2 linked regions of the Alligator mississippiensis genome follow. The protein of the gene in region 2 interacts with the protein of the main gene of each other region in a pairwise test. Links are inferred from orthologs where the notes say so. Each region holds a gene or a part of one and is shown on either strand. Other genes may lie near its edges.

The links.
Region 1: the proteins of MAPK9 (region 2) and SHMT1 interact in binary tests that used the Homo sapiens proteins (3 or more experiments, as listed by UniProt). The two-hybrid records come from large-scale screens. The link is inferred for Alligator mississippiensis from reciprocal best matches to the Homo sapiens genes MAPK9 and SHMT1.

What each region holds. Positions count from the first base shown.
Region 1 is NC_081836.1:55,109,634-55,119,806, forward strand, and holds the start of SHMT1 (serine hydroxymethyltransferase, cytosolic), read right to left. Parts: upstream 4,166-10,173; 5' UTR 4,085-4,165; intron 1,556-4,084; 5' UTR 1,527-1,555; coding exon 1,425-1,526; intron 476-1,424; coding exon 330-475; intron 139-329; coding exon 23-138; intron 1-22. Other genes in the region: chemerin-like receptor 1, read left to right, coding at 7,644-8,732. UniProt on the Homo sapiens protein: Interconversion of serine and glycine.
Region 2 is NC_081832.1:73,861,738-73,872,205, forward strand, and holds the start of MAPK9 (mitogen-activated protein kinase 9), read right to left. Parts: upstream 4,188-10,468; 5' UTR 4,087-4,187; intron 3,621-4,086; 5' UTR 3,480-3,620; intron 2,285-3,479; 5' UTR 2,105-2,284; exon of another isoform or gene 2,023-2,104; intron 1-2,022. Other genes in the region: GFPT2 (glutamine--fructose-6-phosphate aminotransferase [isomerizing] 2), read right to left, coding at 8,829-8,873, 9,529-9,690, 10,244-10,411. UniProt on the Homo sapiens protein: Serine/threonine-protein kinase involved in various processes such as cell proliferation, differentiation, migration, transformation and programmed cell death.

The DNA.
Region 1 (10,173 bases), on a different chromosome or scaffold from region 2:
ACGCAAGGAGCTGGGGTATTACCTGAGTAGGGCTGGACATTGACACCCCACTTCTGGGGGTCCAGGTTGTAGGCCTCCAGTGCCCTCTTCTGACACAGCCTCTCCAGCTCGTCCACGCACTCCGTGCCGCCGTAGTACCTGCCACGCGGAGGAGAGGGCAGGAGCTCTACAGGGGATCCGCAGGGCCAGCTGCTCTGCCTTGTACCAAGGGCAGGGCCTGGCCCACCATGGGCTCTGAAGGGAAGTGGCTTGGGCAAGCAGCTGAGCAGGGATCATGCCCTGAAGAAGCATGAGCCAAGAGGCGCCCCCACACACGCCCCACTCCATACCTCTGCCCTGGGTACCCCTCCGAGTACTTGTTGTTCAGACAGGAGCCCAGGGCCTCCAGCACAGCCCGGCTGGCAAAGTTCTCGGAGGCGATCAGTTCCAAGCCCAGCCTCTGCCGCTGCTTCTCCTTCTTGATGATGTTGAACACCTTGGAGAGAGATGAGGGGGAGCTTCTGGGCAGGGGATTGGGTGCCCAGAGGCAAGACGTACCCTCCCAGGGGAGAAGAGTGATGGGGAACAGACACAAAGAGGTCACAGCTAGGAGAGGAGAGGCAGGGCCTCTTTCTGCCAGGGCTCTGAGCTTGAGATGTGGACAACACTCTGCGTAGGGTTATGTGGATGAACCAGAGGGGCTCAGAGCAGTGCCCCTACAGAGCTGCTTTCCTGCCATGTGGCATGTGCAGTCCGCATGGGGGGAGTGGGGAGGTGGGGAGGGGTCCAGCCATTTCTTTCTTTCTTTCTTTTTATTTTTTACAGGTGGGGTGGGGTCCTTTGGGTAGCTCGAGGATGCGTGAGCTTGCAGGTGCTGGCTGGAAGCAAGAACCCAAAGAGCTAATGAGTCTCCATCACTCGTGTCGGTGGATCCCCTCCTGGTTTGATCCATGTAATAGCCAAGGGCTGGATGCCAGGCACATGGGCTTGCTTCAATAGTAACATGAGCCTGGAAAGGGTCTGCTGGACCACTGAGACCTAGGAGAGGGACAAGTAGGGCAATGCCTCCCACAGGAAAGGACCACCTCTGGGTGTCATGGAGCAAGGCACAGCATGGACTCAGCTAGAGGCTACCACATGGGGACCGCAAGTTGAGCAGGCTCACAACAGCCCCGAGGCAGGCATGGGGAAAGCCACCAGCCCCCATCCTCCTCCACCCCTTCTGGCAAGTGACAGACGAAGCAGCAACAACCTGAAAAGGAGAAGCAGGGGGGAACCTGCAGCTCCCAGACGGCCCAACGCCCTGCCCTGAGTCGCACTGTCCTGAAAGCTGGTGACCCCACAGTTGAACGGGTCCCTGTGCTGGCCGGATGAATGAAGCAGATGATGACCCAGCGCCAAAGCACGCCACCCCCTCCCTGCCCTGCGGACGCCAGCCTGCTCACCTCGGGGTCATTGGTATCGAGCGGTTCCAGGACCATCTTGTTATGCGACTGCCAGATTTCAGCACTCGGGAGCTCGCCGTTGAGGTTGGTTGGGGTAGCCATGGCCAGGTCCCCTCTGGCATCAATGTACTCTGAAATGAGGAGGGTGGGAGAGTTTATAGAACACAAGCGCCCGCTGGGGAAGACGCGTCTCTCTGCCTCCTCCTCCTGGAAGCATCTTTGGCTTGATTGTCCCCCGGCCTGCAATCACTGTATAGTCGGGAGGAAATTTAGTAGGAGTTAGAATGAAAAATCCCAGTAAATGTAAGAAGACGGGATGGGACCTGCCCTCTGCTAGCATGTTTTTGTGGTGCAGATCAGAGTGCCTCGCTCTTCACCAAAAGGGTGATGGTTTGAGCCTGCCCAGGGCTGTTGGCTGTAGGAAGGAGAGACTTTCTTTCCCGTACCACTTTTCTTGGCAAGATTTTTTGTATTTTGGTGACTTAGTTGCGCTAGCGCAAATGGTTGTGGAATCCCTTCGCTGGAAGTCTTCACATGCAAGTTAAACAAAGCCCAAGTCTGGGCTGGTTTGGACAGGGATGGTCCTGCTTTGAGCAGGGGCTTGGGCTAAATGACCTCCCAAGGACCCTGCCAGCCTGATTTTTCCATGATGCTGTGCTCTGAACCCAAATCAATAGAAATAACTGACTGCAGTGGGTTTGGGCTCAGTGTGATGGTGAAAACACCAAGCTTCAGCCACCTTTAGAAAGACATGCAGGTCCTACACCTGCCGCTGTCCCTGTAGTGATTAGCAGTCAAGCTTTCTCATTTGTGTTACTTCTCTCTGATGTTGCTGCATGGAAAACCCACCCAACCGACGGGGAAAAGAGCAAAGCTGTCTTTATCCACACTTTGCCTGTGGAGAAAGGCAACAGACTGAAAAAAAGATTTTTTCCCACATCTCATAGAAATGCTAGGAGTTGGTACATTCCCTTTCAGACACAAGTGTGATTTTTAAATGGAGGCAATATTCAAAGGGACAGCCACTGCTTCGGATCCACCAGACAGCTCTTGTCATTCAGAGGGGTGTTAAATGCAACAGACTCCCATTGAACATCTCCTTGCACACAAATCTCATCCCACTGTGGCCCGTAGGATTTCTTGAATCGGAAGGACACAGCTCCGAGAGCACACAGCTTGTGGGATCAGGCCTGGAGCGCATGTGTAACCATATGTTGGATCTGTGCCCATCTGCATGTATTCAGCCTGAATAACAACCCAGCCCAATCAACGGCATCCCGACTGAAGTCCACCAGCGTGACCCCCGCGGAGATCAGGCATGGGCGGCACAAGTTATTTTACTCACGAGGGGACAGAACAGCCTCTATCTCCCTTAAAGACAAAAAGGCCTTTCAAAGATTAACTCCCCAAGGCCAGCACCCCCGTGCGCTGCTAGTTAGGCAATCACTGTGTTTGCGTGGGTCAAACAGCTAAAGTCCATTTGGAGGCCGTCTGTCCAACCCACAGTCCATCCTGCTCCGGGGAGGGGCAGCTGGCTGGACCAGCTCCCCCCGTCCCCCTTAGCCTGCTTGTGTTGCTGCAAATGCTGAGTGTCAGAAAAGGGGAGCTGCCCCAAGAAAGGGGTTAGGGATGTTGTGGGTGTGGGGAAAGCAGAGCCTGACCCTTGGGATAGGAGCGGACTCGATCCACGCAGGCAGGTAGTCCTTCTCCTACCACATCAGATCAACCACCATCCTCATCCTCACCTCTACCATGGCCCTCCTCACTGGTAACTCTGCTTTACAGTGGGGGAAAAAGGTCTGTTCTTGGTACTTTGTTCATGGGGAAAGGAGGCAAAGAGCTACGTCCTGCGAACTGCCAAAAGTCCCAATTGGCCAGAACCAGGATTGAATCTCCCGGCTCCCAGGCCATCAGCCCATCCATCTACTCGGAGCAGGGTCAGGAATAAGAGAGGCTCCCTTGTGCAAGGAGCCGGTCACAGAATCAGAGAGACGCCGGGCTGGAAGGGACCGCCAGAGTCGCCGAGTCCGAGCCCCTGCTCAAGGCAGGATCATCCCTATCCCTGGTTCCCTCAGATCCTGCCTCCAGGCTCTGGCAGTAGCTCTTGCCTGAGCGTTGGGAAGCAGCGCCCTGTAACCCGCCTCCCCAGGCTGCTCATCTGAGATCCGTGTCCTACACTTTGGCCTGGGGCCCAGCTGCCAATGCCATGATCAGAGCCCGCCAAGGCAAAGAGACCACCAGTTTCTTGTCTCTGGGGAGTCTCTCGAAAAAGGAAGGAGATGGCTCTCGATGGCAGCGGAAACCGGACGCGGCTTCCTCTCCCCGCCAGAGCCCAGCTGCAAGGGTGAGGGGCATGGTTGCAGAGCTGGGCCTGTGACATCTCCATCCGTGGCGGGTCTCAAGGGCGGGTGGCACAGGTGCTGGGCTGGGATGCTTCAGCCGGGTGTGATCCTGCCTGGAGCCAGGGGGCTGGGCTAGATGTCTGTCCCTGTGAGCTCCCTTCCAGCCTGGCTTGCCTATGATCCGAGGAGCAGAGCCCGGCCAGAGGACCGCAGGGATGGCTGCGGGCCCGAGCAGCGATCTCCAGTCCCCCTCGGGGCAGACCTGCACCCCCCTAGACCCGGCGGCCCAGGGGTCCCGGGCGATCGCCCCGCACTTACCGCGCTCCGCCGCCCGCAGTCGCTCGCTCGCCCGCCCGCGGCTCCCGCGCTAGGATGGAACGTTCAGACTCTCCCACTTCCTCCCCCAGCCAATCCGCTCCCGGGCGGGCAGAGTTCGGCCGCGCCCCGGCCCGCCCGAGCCAATCACAGCCGGGGGAGTGTCCCAGGTTGGATTCCATCCCGCCACGGGCAGCACGTGGGTGGTGGCGGGGTTTCCTGTGACCTTGGCCGTGCGGAGGGAAGCGCATCCTCCAGCCGCTAGCCTCCGCTGCCGGGCCGTTGCTCCCCCAGGGGCTGCTGCTCGCAGCACTGGGGGATCCACTGGATCCTTCAGCAGCAGGCAGGCCCGGGAAGTGCCCCCAGCCAGGCAGCCGCCGCCTGGGCAGAGATGGAGCCCAGCTGGAGTGACCTCTCCGGGGCACCAAGGCCTGGGCAGCGTCTGTGGAGACACCAGCATCCCCCCCGGCCTGGCTGGGACGGTGGGTGCCGCTAGGTGGAACCAGCTTGGCTGCAGAGGCAAAGGATCATCCATTTGTCTGTCTGTCAGGTCTCCTAGGCTAGGGTTAAAGAGCCCAGTCAGCCTTAGAGTACAGTGCACCTCCCTTTCACCACCGTCTGGGGCATTTCCACTGCCGGGGGTAAGACAAGGACCCCCTCTAAGGCGCTCTTCTACCTGAAGCTGTTGGCACCCTAGTGGTGCTAAGTTATTTAACCACCCCCCAGCACTCAGCATTAACAGGTAGTATTGTCTACTGTATTATGGTCAACCTGACATCTTAATTCATTAATTAATCACCCCAATTAGAGCCTTGCCTGGTCTCTGTGGTTTTAGTCCCCATTCCTGTGGCTGGTGGCATCTACCTGGCGGAGGAGAGACTGGGACTAGAGTCTCCCATATCCAAAAGATGAAACCAGGAGGAAGATAACTGTTCAGCAAGGATTAAAGAATCAGGAGGTGAGAAATAACCATCCGTGATACAGGGGGACAGCTCAACACTATGGGGAGACCATAAGCACATTTCAACTTCACTGAAAATAGTGTCGCTGTAACATGTGGCTGCTGTTCCAGACTCACTGATGAGCTGGCGAATGAGAGCCAGTGTGGAAGAAAGCACCAAAGGGGGCATATTACACCTACCCCAAACAGGCATTTTCCCCTTATTGATGGGTTGGCAACAGCCTGTAGTAATGGCCTGAGATCTCATGGTGGCCAGAGGAGATGCGACAAGGACACACGGAGGCAAGCCCCAAGAAAATGGATGCCAACGTCAAGAGCTGGGAGGAGCTGGCTGCTGACGGACTCCAATGGCCCTGCAGCCTCAACTAGGGAGCAGTCCATCTCGAGGTAAAGCGTCTTGCCCTTGAAGCAGAGGAGAGAGCGGAGGAAGGAAAAGGGGAAAATCCCAGCCTGCTGCCTACTCTCCCTTGTGGAAAGACCTGCCACTTCTGCAGACGGGTCTATGGCTCCAGGATTGGACTTTAAAGTCACCTCAAGACCCATCAATGAGCCGGGGTAGAGATCATCGAATGGAGGGTGTGCTGCCACCGCTGACACATTGGCCATTCTTTGGCTTGTCAGTCCATTAAATGCTTCCCTGGCACTGCAGCTTCTCTCTCTCCTGTCCAGACACTATGAGCTGACAGGGCTTACAGTTATGAAGTTTCCTAATATTTAGTTGCATCTTCTTTTTCTTAATGTAACAACACTTTTCCCAGTACAGTTATATCTCTTTGTATTGCTCTAAATATTGGTAACTCCCCTTCTTAAGGCTACATCCTCCGCTCCTAATGTCTCTTCAAATGACTACTAAGTTTAAAGATAATTTGACGTAAGAACAGCAGGATTTGGCCCCTTCTCCCCAAATCATACTGGTGTAAATGAGAATATGCAAGGATGGAGATCCATAGCTCCTATAGATGCTGTGAAGAAGTCAGGTGCTTCCCATTGATTTCCGTGGGAACAGGGTTGAAACCAAAATCTTGGAAACTTTCAAACGTTTCTCACATGTTTAAGAATTAAAATCAGTGCTTCCAGTAGAGCCCGTACATGTTAGCAGGTCAGGACATGGGTGAGGCCCGATCTGTTCCCATTCATCTCAAGAGGACATCAGCTCTGAGGCCTAGTGATGAAGCTGAAAATAGTGTCACTGTAACATGTGGCTGCTGTTCCAGACTCACTGATGGGCTGGCGATTGAGAGCCAGTGTGGAAGAAAGCACCAAAGTGATCCACTCTCGTGTGTGAGAAGCCCTTGAGAGAGCATTTCTCAGGCCGGGATTCTTCTCCATCATCTCACCTGTGTACCACTGCCCTTCTCATCCCTACGTCCGAATGGGTTTGTGTCACTTGACACTTCCCGTGGTGTTATACCTTTGAGATGACTTTCACCCTACAGCCAAAATGACTGCCTTCGTATTGTACATTAAGGGCCTGCCTACGCTCAAGATGATTGAACTGAGTTAGCTTCAGTTATAATAGCAGTGTGAAGACAAGGTAACTTTGGTTTTACTTCAGACTAGCAGCCTGGTATTGAATTCAAACTCTCAACCCAGGTAAAACCCCAGTTAATGTGTCTTTATGGCTTTTTTAAGTTGCATTAGCTAACTCAATTTAGCCAACATGAGTTAAGAACACAGTGCAGATGAACAGCGATGCCAAAGAGTTAAATTCCACATAATACAAATTGAGGAACAACACCGTGGAATAAATGATCCTGTTAAATTCCCCATGAGCTCAGACCATGGAAAGACAATACAACCTACCGTGAATCACTTGCAGAGATGCTCATTGTCTCGAACACTTCCAGACAATAAGAGGAGGTTCCACCACTTCCAGTGCCCAGAAGCAGAGAAACAAGAAATACAAAGCTGTGGTGAGTACCTCTCGTTTGATCTCAGTGTTAGAAATCCAGGCTAGGAGGTGGTGAGAAAAGCAGGAGATTGGGAGGATTTAAGAGATGGATATGTGGGTAAGGTGTTGGCCATGCTCTGTTATAGTGTGTTATCCTTCAAAATGAAAGACATATCTTAAAAGGCAAATTTCTGAAGTAGGTAGTGGGGTCTTTGAGCACCAGACTCCAGTGCCTTTAGTTGCACTGAATAGCCACAGTGGGGCTTCTCCAACTGAGAGGTCAGGGCAGGGGGGTATTTCCCAGTTAGCCCATATCTGATGTGTTTGATGGGTAGTACCTTGATGGATCCCAAGCGTTCTGTTTATAGTAGGGGAATTCCAAGTTGCCCCAACGGTGGCTACACTTCGGTTTCTGTGTGTTATGTATAGAGCTGGACAAAGTCAGGTACCAATTCCATGACTTGCTTACAGCCAGATTCTATCCTGAAATATTCCCACATGGCTCCTCTCTGCTCTCAGTGGCACTGACTCAAGGGGATCTTGGCTAAGTTCCTTGTACACTCTGTGCCTCACTTTCCACAGTGGTAAGGGCAATCTAATCATAGTTGGCTACCTTGACAAAGTCTTTTTGAGATCCTGATGTGGCAGCTACCGCAGATTAAATTAATAGCAGGAATATGCACGTATAATTTCAGGAGCCCAGATCGTGAATGGTGATGGAGAACATCTCCTCCCCCTCACCCATCTCTGTCATCTCCACCGCTCGGTATGAGAACGCCTCTGAACACAAAGATTACTATTCCAGCCTTCAAAAGAGCATGCATATCCTGTCCATGGTGGTCTACAGCATTGCGTGTCTGCTGGGGGTGACAGGAAATGGCCTCGTCATCTGGATCGCTGGCTTCCGGATGAAGAAGACAGTGAATGCCGTGTGGTTTCTGAACCTGGCTGTGGCCGATTTCATCTTCACTTTTTTCCTGCCCTTCAGCATTGTCTACACTGCTCTGGGCTTCCACTGGCCCTTTGGGAAGCTCCTGTGCAAATTAAACAGCACCATTGCCTTCCTCAACATGTTTGCTAGCGTCTTCCTTCTCACAGTCATCAGCATGGATCGGTGCGTTTCACTTGTCTTCCCTGTGTGGTCTCACAACTACAGGACACCCAAATTGGCTTCCAACATTGCCCTGGTGACATGGGTCCTTGCCCTCATCATGAGCTCTCCGTATCTTGTTTTTCGAGACACAGCTATTCATTCCAAGAACATCACCAGCTGCTACAATAACTTTGCCCTGTCTGATGATTATAACTCGGAGGCAGCACAGAGGCTGTGGAGAATGAGGCACGAAGCGATGATTGTAACCAGATTCCTGTGTGGGTTCCTCATCCCCTTCATGGTGATCCTCATCTGCTACACCATCTTTGCTATCAGGTTGAAAAGGAGACGTTTAGTGAGGTCCACAAAGCCTATCCGGATCATCATTGCCGTCACTGTGTCTTTCTTCCTCTGCTATTTCCCATACCATGTCTTCTCCATGATGGAAATGTCCAAACACTCTTCCAGTCATGAGCTGAAGATGGCCCTCTACATCGGCTTCCCCCTGGCCTCCAGCCTTGCCTTCTTCAACAGCTGCATCAATCCAATCCTGTATGTCTTTATGGGGCAGGATTTCAGGGAGACATTTCAACAGTCCATCCTCTCTGCCTTTGAGGGGGCCTTCAGTGAGGACTCTGTCCTGGCCAGCCTGGCTAGCAAAAGAAAATCCAGGTCTGCTTCAGAGGCAGAGCTCCCAGGGGTTTAGTTAGTAGCTCCTATAGCAAGTCGCAAGGGGCCCAGTTCTGTCTGCTGTTACACAACTACAGTTGCTCCTGCTTCCCGTCAGTGCTAAGCTTGTGGACCTGAAGACAGAAATGAGCTGTGAGTTGTTAAGGGGTGTGATTCAGCTTTTGAGATGAGTGCAGAACCTAGTGTGTCTTCACGTACCAGGGATGTAAAACAGCTGGATGGGGGTGGCACAGGGCTGTCAAAGTACCTACTTTCACATGCTGGCCTTTGCATGCTATCAGCTTGGGTTTTTTTCACTTTTCCCTTTGTCAGTCCTCTTGTTGTGCCAGTCACCCTCTGTCACCGGAACCGTTCCTGTTTCACATCCCCTCTGAGGAGCAGATGAGTGTAAGTTACTCTGTTTTGGCCTCTCTGCTCACTGTTCAACTGGAAACCCTAGCACCGAAGGTGGCTCAGAGTCAGCCATGCCTGCTTCTACCTGAAGATGAATCACGTCTTTTTTTACGGCCTTGCCCTGCCACAGTTTTCTCTTTGGAAAACCCAATATTCATTTAGCAAAATATTTAAAAGATAGAGAGGCCATTTCAGAGTTTCCTTTGCTAGTACTGAGATCTGAGCAATTCAGTGCTGCCATCCTGTGCAAGCTTTCAGCACGTGAGCAGCTGACCCAATAACCTTAAGATTTGTATATAGGCAACCCATGCTTAGCGCTCTTAAGTGGTTCCTGAAAACCTGAGCGTTAAGTGAAAATAGCATTAAGTGAAACCAAAAGTTTTTGATGACCTGAGATGGCGACAGCAAGTATTTTTGATGACCCAAGCAAAGATGGTGACTGTGAGCGTTATACTGAAACTCGCTGAGTGCTCAGTGGAATCAGGTATCAATTTAAAACAAGTGTTATAGCAAAATAGGGCTAAGTGAAACAGCGTTAAGCGGGGGTTGCCTGTACTTAATTATTTAATGGCTCTATAGACAAGTCTTCCATCATCTTCCTCTTCTGCTAAGACTTCCCATAAAGAAATACCAGGTTTTTCTCTCCACTGACACATTTAAAAAATAGTGGGCATGTCTACATGTGCATTCATGTGCCGTAATTACGGCGCATTAAGTTTAGTACCTGTAATAACAAGTACTAACTTAATGCACGGTAATCAGTACTACTGCACAGTAGTGCCGACTGCCGACACGTCTTTTAAGTGATGCTAATGCATGGTAGACTAATTGTACTGCGCATTAGTATGGCTTTCGCCGTGATGTGCTAATGCACAGTCGAATCAGTCTACTGTGCTTTAGCATCTTGCGTAGATGTGCCCAGTGTCTGTCCAGCTTAGCCTCGGGTCACTTTGTGGGTTCTGATTAAAATACACACAACACCACACCCAATCTGCATGAACACGCATGCATCCTTGTGGCTTTCATCTGACTTCAGCCAGGTCGCATGAGGGAAAACAGGAGCA
Region 2 (10,468 bases):
TGTACAGTGTGGCTGAGTTAATGCTACTAGAATCACAACGGACAACTATAACAAGCAAATCTTTGACATGAAATTTGGAGAAATAACAAATAATAAAAGGAAAAAGCAAACAAGAAAAAAGAAACCAAAAATCAAAGCCCGCTGTTGAATTCTTAGATTCATTTCTTTTGCTGTTGATCAATATAAAAAGGCCTTATTTCTTGCAAGACCTATGACTACAGCTACCTGACAGTCCAATGTGAGGCTTAATTATGGTCAATGTTCTATGAAAAAAAAAAACCTCATTATGTGAAAATCATAAATATTTGGGTTTTCTTTAAAGGATACCTGACTTCTCATACTCCTTTTACCCTTCCCTTGTCAAAATAAACCCCCCATTATGTGTCATAGTTCTAGAATATTGACCACAGAAAGAAAAAGTCTTAAAACTTCAGATGAAATGGCAACAGACCTTTTTCTTATTATTCTCCTTGACCAGTAACATGAATGCAAAAGGAAGAAGCTAAGCTAACAAACCCCTGCCTACCCCAGCCCATATGTTGGGGTATGCAAGTCTCCTTTTTCTCCAGCCACTATGCTCCCAAGGGCCAGAGGAAGGACAAGGTTTTAACCTATACCCACTCCACTCCAAATCTTCATTATTTTACTTAAAGGGTAAAAGAGTTAACAACACAGGGCTGCAGGTCTGGTTTCCCATGCAAATGCTGACAGCTCAAATCTCCGTGGCCTTTGAGATATGTAAAGAAACTGACCTAAGCACCTGCTTGGCAAGATGAGCCAGGGTAAGGAAAGGGTTATTGAGCAAAGTAAAGATCACAGCTGCATGTCCTAAGTACAGCAACTGTCTGAGTAACAGGAACGGGACAGCTGTGCTATTTTATGCAATTCCCCAATGCAGGACATGAAAACTATGTTTGGGAAGGGAAGGGAAGGAAGTGAAGTGAAAAGTCTACAGCCTCCTTTGCCCTTGTCTTCACAGGGGAGACTCAGTGTTGCTAATACTCATGAAGAAAATGGCAGCTTAGCATTTTCACATAAGTAAACAGCTCAAGTTAGAGACTAAACTCCCCTGCAGGGTAACCTGACTTTCACGTGGGTGAAAAAAACATAAGCTTCCTTTCTTGGGGAGGATTTTACCTTGAGTTGAGGATATATTTTTTGTATTAAGGACAAGACTTAAAAAAAGGAAGTAGGAGGCTATCTGATCTAGCAGTGCTCATTCTAACTGAGTTTGATTGCACAAAACCATATTAAAATTAATGTCATTTGGAAACAAGGATAAAGACTCTTCTTTGGTCTAAATCCACACAGGGATTTGGGTGTTGTAATATATAGCACCTTAACAGAGACGACCCTAGCAGGGTGTGAGGCCCCAGGCAAATCAGCCTGTGCAGGGCCCAGATGCTGGAGAGCGGCCGGACATGAAGCCAGCCTGGCTCTGTGGGGCCCCCCAAAGTGTGGGGCCTGGGGTAGTCACCCCAATTCGCACCCCTGCTAATTCACAGCCCTGAGTTATGGCAAGGTTCCCCATACGATATATGGGGAAAGATAGAGACCTAAAATAATTCACAGAAACAAGCAAGCTGTGTGGCAAACTGGTAACAATGGAAAGGCTAGGACCAGGCAGAACCTAAGCCAAGAGCAGTTAAGCACCTATCTCCATGCAAGAGTCTCGGTTGTGAACTGTCTCACTGAGTTAGCTGCTTGTACCAAGTCAGCCCTTTCTTACAAAAAATACAAGAGACCTCCCATTCCCAAATAGGACAATCACCTGAGAGATGTGAGCTGTTTTCAAATTCTGTTCTGCCAATACAGTGCAGGAACGGGACGCCAGTTCTCTCAAATTAGAGGACCCTAACCCTAACCACGAGGTTATCTGATATTCTGGAGTGAGACTCTTTCAGTATCTCCTAATGAAGTTACTCAACTATATATGCACGAATATGAAGTCCCTCACAGAGCCCAACTCTCCCACATGTCTCATGACTGCTCCTTACCACTGCGCTATGAAGCTGTACTCACTTTTTCTCTCCTTGGCCAAATAAATGTTTAATTCATTACGCAAAGCAGAACAGCTGTGAAAAGAGAATCCTCAAATATTTACAGTTAGAGCCTCCTCCTGTGCAAAAGCAGAGGTCTAGATCCAGCTTCACGCTGGGCACAAGGATTCAAACAAGGTGTCTGGCTCTCATAGGAATACTGGACGTAACTGGACAATTGAACAAGAAGAAGCACACTTCTGGGCAAGACAGGTAAGCTCTGAGCTTGTCTAATGGTTCAGGCCCTGCAGGAAAACAAAAAAAAAAAAATCAGTGGGGAAATCACCTAGTTTCTCTTTGCGCAGGGGTACCAAGCTGCTTGGCAACAGCAAGACACAGGCACTTTTGTGCTTGTCTACTACGCTTGTGCTAGACACTTTAGCCACTTGCATGGTTAAAAAATTTTTTTGCAAATGCTGATGGTGCCTGCATATCGACTTACATGCCCGAGTCCCTTGTGGACCTATCCCCCTTTGAATGCCCGACTTTGGGAAACTGGCCTCTGTTCCGACTATGGTCCATGAAAGCCAAGGAATATCAGTCAACAACCTGACTACAGTATCACGTACGCCACGTACGCCAGTATGAACATCATGTTTCACATCAGTCGATATAAAGGAGTCCTCTGGAATTTAGAAATAAACCTTCAATTTCAGAAAAAGGTTTTCAGCACCTGGTATCGTGATATTACTTCATCTAAAAAGGACCAACACACAAACAGGAAACAGGCATCCGTCCTCCGAAGGATGGACAGCAGCGACAACCCCTTTACAATGAGAATGCAACACATCTTCATCAATTGAAAAAGCTGCAGGATCATTATTTTGACCCGGCAGCCTTGTACTACTAAATTAAAAACAGGCACAAGATCGGATGATCCCATTTGAAAGCCATTTTGTTTGACAGAGATGTGTTACATGGAAGATGCCGAATTTTAGCTAATTTTGGAGGTAAAGCTTCATTGCTGAACATAAGAAAGATTTCTACACCTCCCTGCCTTTCTGCCACGTGACACCCCAAGGGAAGGATCCCTGCCTGATCTGCACATCGAAGAGCAACTCACAAAGACACCCCGAGGAGCGCACTCCCACCTTCAGCTTCCTCCGTGCAAAATGAAGTTGCTTTCCTACCCATGGGGACTTTTTACCAGCTTGAATTTTCCCCGAGCCGGAGGAAGCGGGGTGCGCGCCCGAAAGCTTGCAGAAAAAGACTTATGGGGGGGGGAGGGCGATTGCTTAGTCGGTCGAATGAAAGGTATCATCTCTGAACCGCGAGTGGCAGAGTTTTGCATTTCTTTTTGTTTTGACAAGCGCCGGTGACAATCACCGGAGGACTTTTACGGACCGCACGGCAAAGACGGACAACGAAACGCCGCGAGCACGTGACGGCGTACACGCGTGACCCGTAACAGCAGGGTTGAAGCGGCGCTTGCTGACTAACCAGATGGGATCCCTGTAGATCTTCACGTCACATCAGCTTACATGGGAGACAAGTGGGCTACTGCGGTTTGAGAAGCGCTGCCCGCGCCGCTCGGGACACAGGGGAAGGACGTGACGGCGACGTCCCAGGTGGAGGGTCCAGCTAAGAGGGAAAAGGAGCAAAACCTTTTAAGTTTATCAAGGAACAGACGAGGTCCCCGAGACGAGCCGTGCCGTCTCCGGTCCCCCTTCCCTACACCTGCAGCCTGGCGGGTGCGGGGGGACCTGGCTGTCGCCCCTCAGGCGAGCCGAGCGCCCGTCTCCTCCGCGGCGCGGGCCGGGAAGGACAGGCTCCCGGGTCCCCGTCGCCCAGGCAGGGAAACCAGCCTGCCCGCAGCATCCTCCGCCAGCCCCAGGCACGGGCGCCAGCGTCCACCCCAGGAGCCCCGAGGCCCCAGCCAGCCTGGAGCGGCGAGGGCGGCTCCCAAACCCCTTGGGCCGCAGAGCGAATTGCCCCGCGGGGGGCTGCAGGCCGCGGCCGGGGAGGGGCGGCAGCGGCGACCCCCGCGGCTGAGGGAAACTTCGCGCCAGGCCCCGCCCCCCCGCGGCCTCCCCGCTCCGCGCCTCACCGTGCGGCGGCCTGGCCAGGCCGGGCGGGCGGGCGGCGCTCGGGTGCCCGCTCGGCGCCTCCGGCTCGCAGGGCCGCCCCAGCCACAATGGCTCCCCTGCCCCTCGCAGGCCGCGCCAGGCCAGACCGGCTGACGGGCGCGCGCGCCGTCCAATCGTCGCGCGGCGCCGGGCGCGCTCAGCCAATCCGGCTGGAGGCGGGACCTCCTCAAGACACTATATAAGGGAGGGGACTGCAGTGGAGACAGGGCGGCTCCGGGCCGGGCTGGGCCCGAGCAGCGCACGTCACGCTCGCCCCATCTTGGTGATGTCATCTCACGTCAGACTGCCCCCAGCTCGGTGATGTCATTCCACATCAAACTCTCCCCAGCTTGGTGATGTTATCCCACATCAACCTACCCCCAGTTTAGTGATGTCATCCCATGTCAAACTGCCCCCAGCTTGATGTCATCGCCCATATCAAACTGCCACATCTCGGTGATGTCATCACTCACATCAAACTGCCCCCAGCTTGGTGATGTTATTCCACTTCAAACTGCCCCCAGCTTAGTGATGTCATCCCATGTCAAACTGCCCCTAGCTTAATGTCATCACCCATGTCAAACTGCCCCCAGCTTGATGTCATCACCCACGTCAAACTGCCCCCAGCTTGGTGATGTCACCACACACCTAAGTGCACTGCCAAATGATGGGCTATTTACACGGCAAATCACCGTTGTCAGCTGAGGTGATGTCACCCCCCCCATCCAACTGCCAGGGTGAGGCGAGGCAGTGTCAGCAGCTGTCACCAAAACCCCCGGGTGCCGTCACCCTGCTCCACCCAGGAAGCGCTGCCAGGCGAGGCGGGAGGAGGACGCGGCCCCGTGACACGGGGGCGGCAGTGAAGAAGCCGCCTGCCGCTGCACCGCAAGATGCGGTCTCTGAAAACCAAGAGACTGCTACAAATGACGCTGCCCGAGGTGGTGACCTCAACCTCTCTTCTTTACCACAATGCATCCACCAGGAAGAAAAAAATGGCATTGCCTGGTCCGCCCGCCTGTCCCTCATTTAAAAAAAATGGAGTTAATAATAGATACTGTATATTTTCTGTAATTCACAAGAGAAAAAACAAAAGAACTGCCATTAAGCGGATCAGACCGCCGGTCCCCCTCACCCCGCGGCTCCCGGCATGCCATGGCAAGGAGCGAACGCTGGACGGGAGAGCAAACTGGGTCTTGCCAAGGTGTTTTTCCCCCTCTCCCTCTTGCCGCTCTCCAACATTTAAGGTCCAGGAAGCACCAGTTCAGAAGCTGTACCCCCAATTCCCATTTTTATTTGCAAAATGTAATCCTTGTTTGTGGCTTGAAGGAATAAATGAGCCACGAAAGCTTTGGAGGGAATGTGTGTGCCCTCACAGCTGTTCCTTCCTCCATCCAAAAAATCTCAGTAACATCTCATCCATGCATTTCTTCTCTTTTCCTATACCTCAAAAACTACTATTTTTGCTTGCTACCTGTTTAAAAAAGAACTGAGTCTATTCTTTAAACCCAAGTAGGGCACGGTTTCCCATTTATTTATTTTCTCCTTACTTAGGATTTCCTATTTATTCTCTCCTTTAAGATTTCCCCATGTATTTATTCTCTCCTTACTTGAATTTAAAAGTTATAAATTAAAAAACAAAAATAATCTGCTTTCATTGCTTTACAGTCTAGTCTTAGTACTGCATTTCATTAAAAGGCAAGAAAATTAGTGGCTCCAAAGAAACAGCCCTCTCCACGACTAGCCCCTGACAACCTCAGCTTCAGCCAGGGATGCATATCATATTTTACTGTGTTTTTTTTACCTTTCAAAGCCCTCTTTATAAGAAAGCGAAGCACCTTAAAAGGAGCTATCAGAAACTGCTCTAGTACAAAAAGCTACTGCAGCACTTAAAGCCATTAAATTGTAAGTATTCAAACATCTCAATTTAAAAGCCAACCTGCAGAGGAATATATTGTATTTATATAAAGGAAAAAATGTTTTCTACTCAAGAACTTGTGTGAACCATTAAGTCACCTACAAAAACTAGAATGATGGTAATTTGTGAGTGTTTTAATATGACAAACCATTAGAGCAATTCACTTATAAGCCTCAAAAGGGACAGGGTATTACAATAGACTTCTTGGTGCTACTCCACAAATATGTTCACGTAATGTACACATGAAGTGCAATTTTTTTTGCAGATAAATATATCCATAGTCTGTTTTTTCATTTCTTTTATTAAAGTTCAGCCTTTTGTATTGAAGCCACTCACTTTTCTTTAAGCAATGAGCAAATTTTAACAAAAGATGATGCACTGTAAGTCATGTGCATGTGCACTGCCTTTTCCCCCACCTTTTGAATATAGGAGGAAGAATTTGGAAGAAGAGGGGAAAAAAAGAAAGTCACACCACCCTTCTGGTCTTGGCTTCTGAAATCTTTGATTTAACCACTTAAAATTATTAGCAATGCTCAGTAAGATTAAAGTTGCAATGTCACACTGATCATCATTGCTTTGGGGAAGGAGATGATCAGCAGTAAGGGCAAAAAAAAGTCTCAGTAATTCAGTACATATATGACACTTGTCCAGCTCCGTTGGTTAAAAGTTCTTTGTTCTTTGAAGCATACAAAACCGGTCACTGTTAGAGAAGAGACGCTTTGTGCTCTTCAGGATGTCCAGCAAGAAACAAATCCTCTTTTAGACCTTTCCCAGCAAGAGAAGCTAGATCTAAATCCTGCTCATCAGCACGAGCGTAACCAGGAGATGGTAGGTTCAAACCGTTTTAAAAGTATTCATCTCTGGTGAGGTTTTGCTTGGCACAAAAAGCATAAAAAGTGTTATTATGGCCACAAATAATAAGTGGTGAAATACAAAATGTACCTTCCTGTTTAAAAATTGTGCGAAATGTCTTTTTAGCTCAGCCAACTCAAAGGAAGACAGAATATACAGAGTTAATAGTTCAACTACATCTATAAAATTCAGTGTGTGCAGGAGATACTACTGCACCCAAAAGATGTAGCTTTTAGATTGATAAGGAGTACAGAAAAAGGTTATAAAGATGCCAAGTTTTTGTACAAAACAGATATTATGGCTACATTATGTGTATACATTAATAAGGAATAAGTTCAGACTGGGGTTCCCTTTGTACCAAGTACACAAATTTTAAGACAGTCCTTGCCCCAGAGGAGTTTTGCAGCTTACTAGGTGGCAGAGGAAAGATAGTAGAAAGAATAGGACCATCTGTAATGTCCCCATTTAGGACACAGAGATTTTTTGCCCAATGTCACATAAATCCAGCAGCACATCTGAGATTTGGATTCATATTTTGAAACCTAACCAGGTGCCTTAAGCACAAAACTATTCCTCCTTTTCCAAAACTATTCCTCCCTTTCCACAAACTTCATGAAGTGCTTTCATTTTTTGTCTGATACAAAACCCATCAGTGAAGAAAACTCCACGTGTGGAGTCAGATGCAACTGTACTCAAGAATAGTTAACTGGAAGAGGAAGGAGTTGGTAAAAGATTGCACATAAGAGTTTACATGATCCGTTTTCTTTAATTGCATAGTAATTTGATTGTACAATCTCCAACAGAAGTATAGTAATCCACTTGAAAATACCATTGCCTTATTTTGTTATACTTTACATGTCAAATGAATCAAAACTGGGACTATGTATGTGGTAAAAAAATTCAATGAGTTAATAATGTTGATTGGTTGGTTGGTTAAATAAAGCTGAAGTTTGAATATCTCCAAATAGATTTCCGTCAAAGAAGTTGAGGTAACAAATAGTTAACAGAAAATGGCAAAAAACAGTTAGAAAGGAGACCAAGAGAAAGAAAAAACAGCTACAGGATGTCTGTACACAAGCGCAGAGGCTGCTCCAACCTGTCTAATTACACTGTGTCAGAGCAGACTCGATTAAATGGAGTCTCTCGGAGCATGGTAATTACTGCGCTCCAGCAGCTTCCTGCATCTCGTGCAGTGTCCCCACACTTCAAAAAGGTGGTGGAGGTATTTGAACTGAAGTTCATTCAATGAGCTTTAGTTCAAGTGCCCCCGCTGCCATTTTGAAGTGCAAGGGCCACTGATATACAAGACACTGCTGTGCTTTAATTAGAGTGGCTCTCAGAGCCGCTTTAATTAAAGCGATGCCTCTCCCCCACCCCCAGGGCACATGTAAAAAAGTGCCCATAGAGTTCCAGATCAAAGCTGAAATACAAGACCATAACAATGACCCTGTACACAAATGAATAAATGTTACCATGCTCAGGATATACATTCAGGGCATTAAACAATGCTACAGATGAGCAACATACTAAAAAAAATAATAACTTAAAGCTATACAACTGTACTTATAAATACATTGTTTTTAAAACTAGTTAAAGTAGTGTTGGCTAAAAGTGTTCACAGTTACTCTAAAACAGAGCTGTATATATATATTGCACAATAGTAGAAAACGTCATTCACTATACCATGTGTAAACAATGATTTCCTTTCTTTCTCTTTTGGCAATATTAGTTATTTAGAGAAACATTTGCTGTAAGCAAAAGCACTTGGGTACAAGGCACATCAAAAGCTTTTAAAAACGGGTGTCAGAACAAGTTAAAAAACAAACAAGCCAACCTTCCTCAACACTTTCCAGTTAACAATATCATCATTCTACTTAGAAAGTTGTGTACTCAATGAATAACAATACATTTGTAGAATACAAATTTAGAAGTTTGGTGACAAAAGTTGCAGGGTGTTTATTCCACTGTCACAGATTTGGCCAGGTTTCTTGGAAAATCCACCTGGAATGAAGAACAGATTTTCAGTACATGATTGAGTAAAGCAACTTTCTGTATCTGTTAATTGATTCAACCTGTCTGCACATGCGTGTGCACACACCCCACCACCCATCCCTGAATTAATTCCACACCTTATCTGTCCTAGCTAGCCAAAACACAACCTAGACATGCAAAAAGTGCTGGAGATTTTAAAATCTGCAAACGTTAGAAGTTTCCTTGCAATTCGATTGCAAAAATATGAATTGCCATGACAGGGTACAACTCTCAAAAGCATAGGCATCAGTCTTAAGCTTATTCAAACACTTAGCATTGGTTAATAAAGTATCAGACAAGCGTCACAATTTCTTTGGGTAAATTTTACTTCCTACTTTCATATTGTTTACTGAAAAATAGAGGGAAATCTTCATTCTAGGTACTGCTCTCATTCAGTTTTACTACTGAACATTTAGTTTTATTTTCCCAGTTAAAAGAAGCTAAACATATTTTCAGGGGGTTTTACTAGAATTCTAGCTCAGCTAATTAGAATATAGCTATTCTCTTGCTAGAAACTCTGTGCAACTATTCCTCTCGCATTAAGCTGGTGGGAGGCAGAAGGAAGTTCACTGCAGTGCTTCTCCAACTGTTCAAATTGGAGTACCTAAAGATAAAAGACACTTACATCATATCCTCTGAGAACAGCCAGGTGGAATGAAAGCAGCTGGAGGGGAATAACACTCAGAACCCCTTGGAGACAGTCAACTGTGTGTGGCAGCTCAATAGTTTTGTATGCATATTTTGAGCTTTCTGTATCTTCTTTAGAACACAAAATGATTGGGCGACCCTGTAAATAAGATATTACTAATAAGATTACTTAGGTTAAAGCACCCCACCACCATTTTTCAGCATGGGGATGCCGATACACATGACGCTGGAGTGCGGTAAAATTTCCACGCTTCAGCAAACTCAATTAAAATTGAGCCTGCTCCAACACGCTGGAATTACAGAGCAGCCTCCCTGTATGTGTGTAAGTGCCCCATGGTGCTAAGCTTTCAAATGCATTCAATATATTTTGAGCTTACTCAAACAGATAGTAAGAATGATGATGACAATGCCTACCTACTATTTATGAGAAAACAAGACCTTTTGCTTGTTACATGGTATTTACAATTTGAACTTCTAGCACTGCAGATCACCAACATAATTCCACCTGCATTTTTAATTGGTCAGTCCTCATCACTGGCATCCATCTTTAATATTATGGTATAATCAAAGGGTGAGCACTTGCCATCTTTGAGGACTAGACAAACACCAAGACACGGCGTTTCTGAAGTGCTGTCAGTAGCAACGCATTTCAGCATGCAGAACCTCTATCCAGCTGATGTTGTTCAAGTTACCTGTCGAGCAGTGATCTGTTGCAAAGCATTCTGGCATTTGTTGAAGCAGGGATCCTTCATAATTACCATGATAACAGGCATTTGCTTATCAATAAGGGCCAGTGGCCCATGCTTCAGTTCACCAGCCAAGATACCTTCAGAATGCATGTATGTGATTTCCTTGATTTTCTAGAAAGCAAATGCCAGAGTTACATTCATGCCAAGTGCCAAATAAAAGCTTCAGAA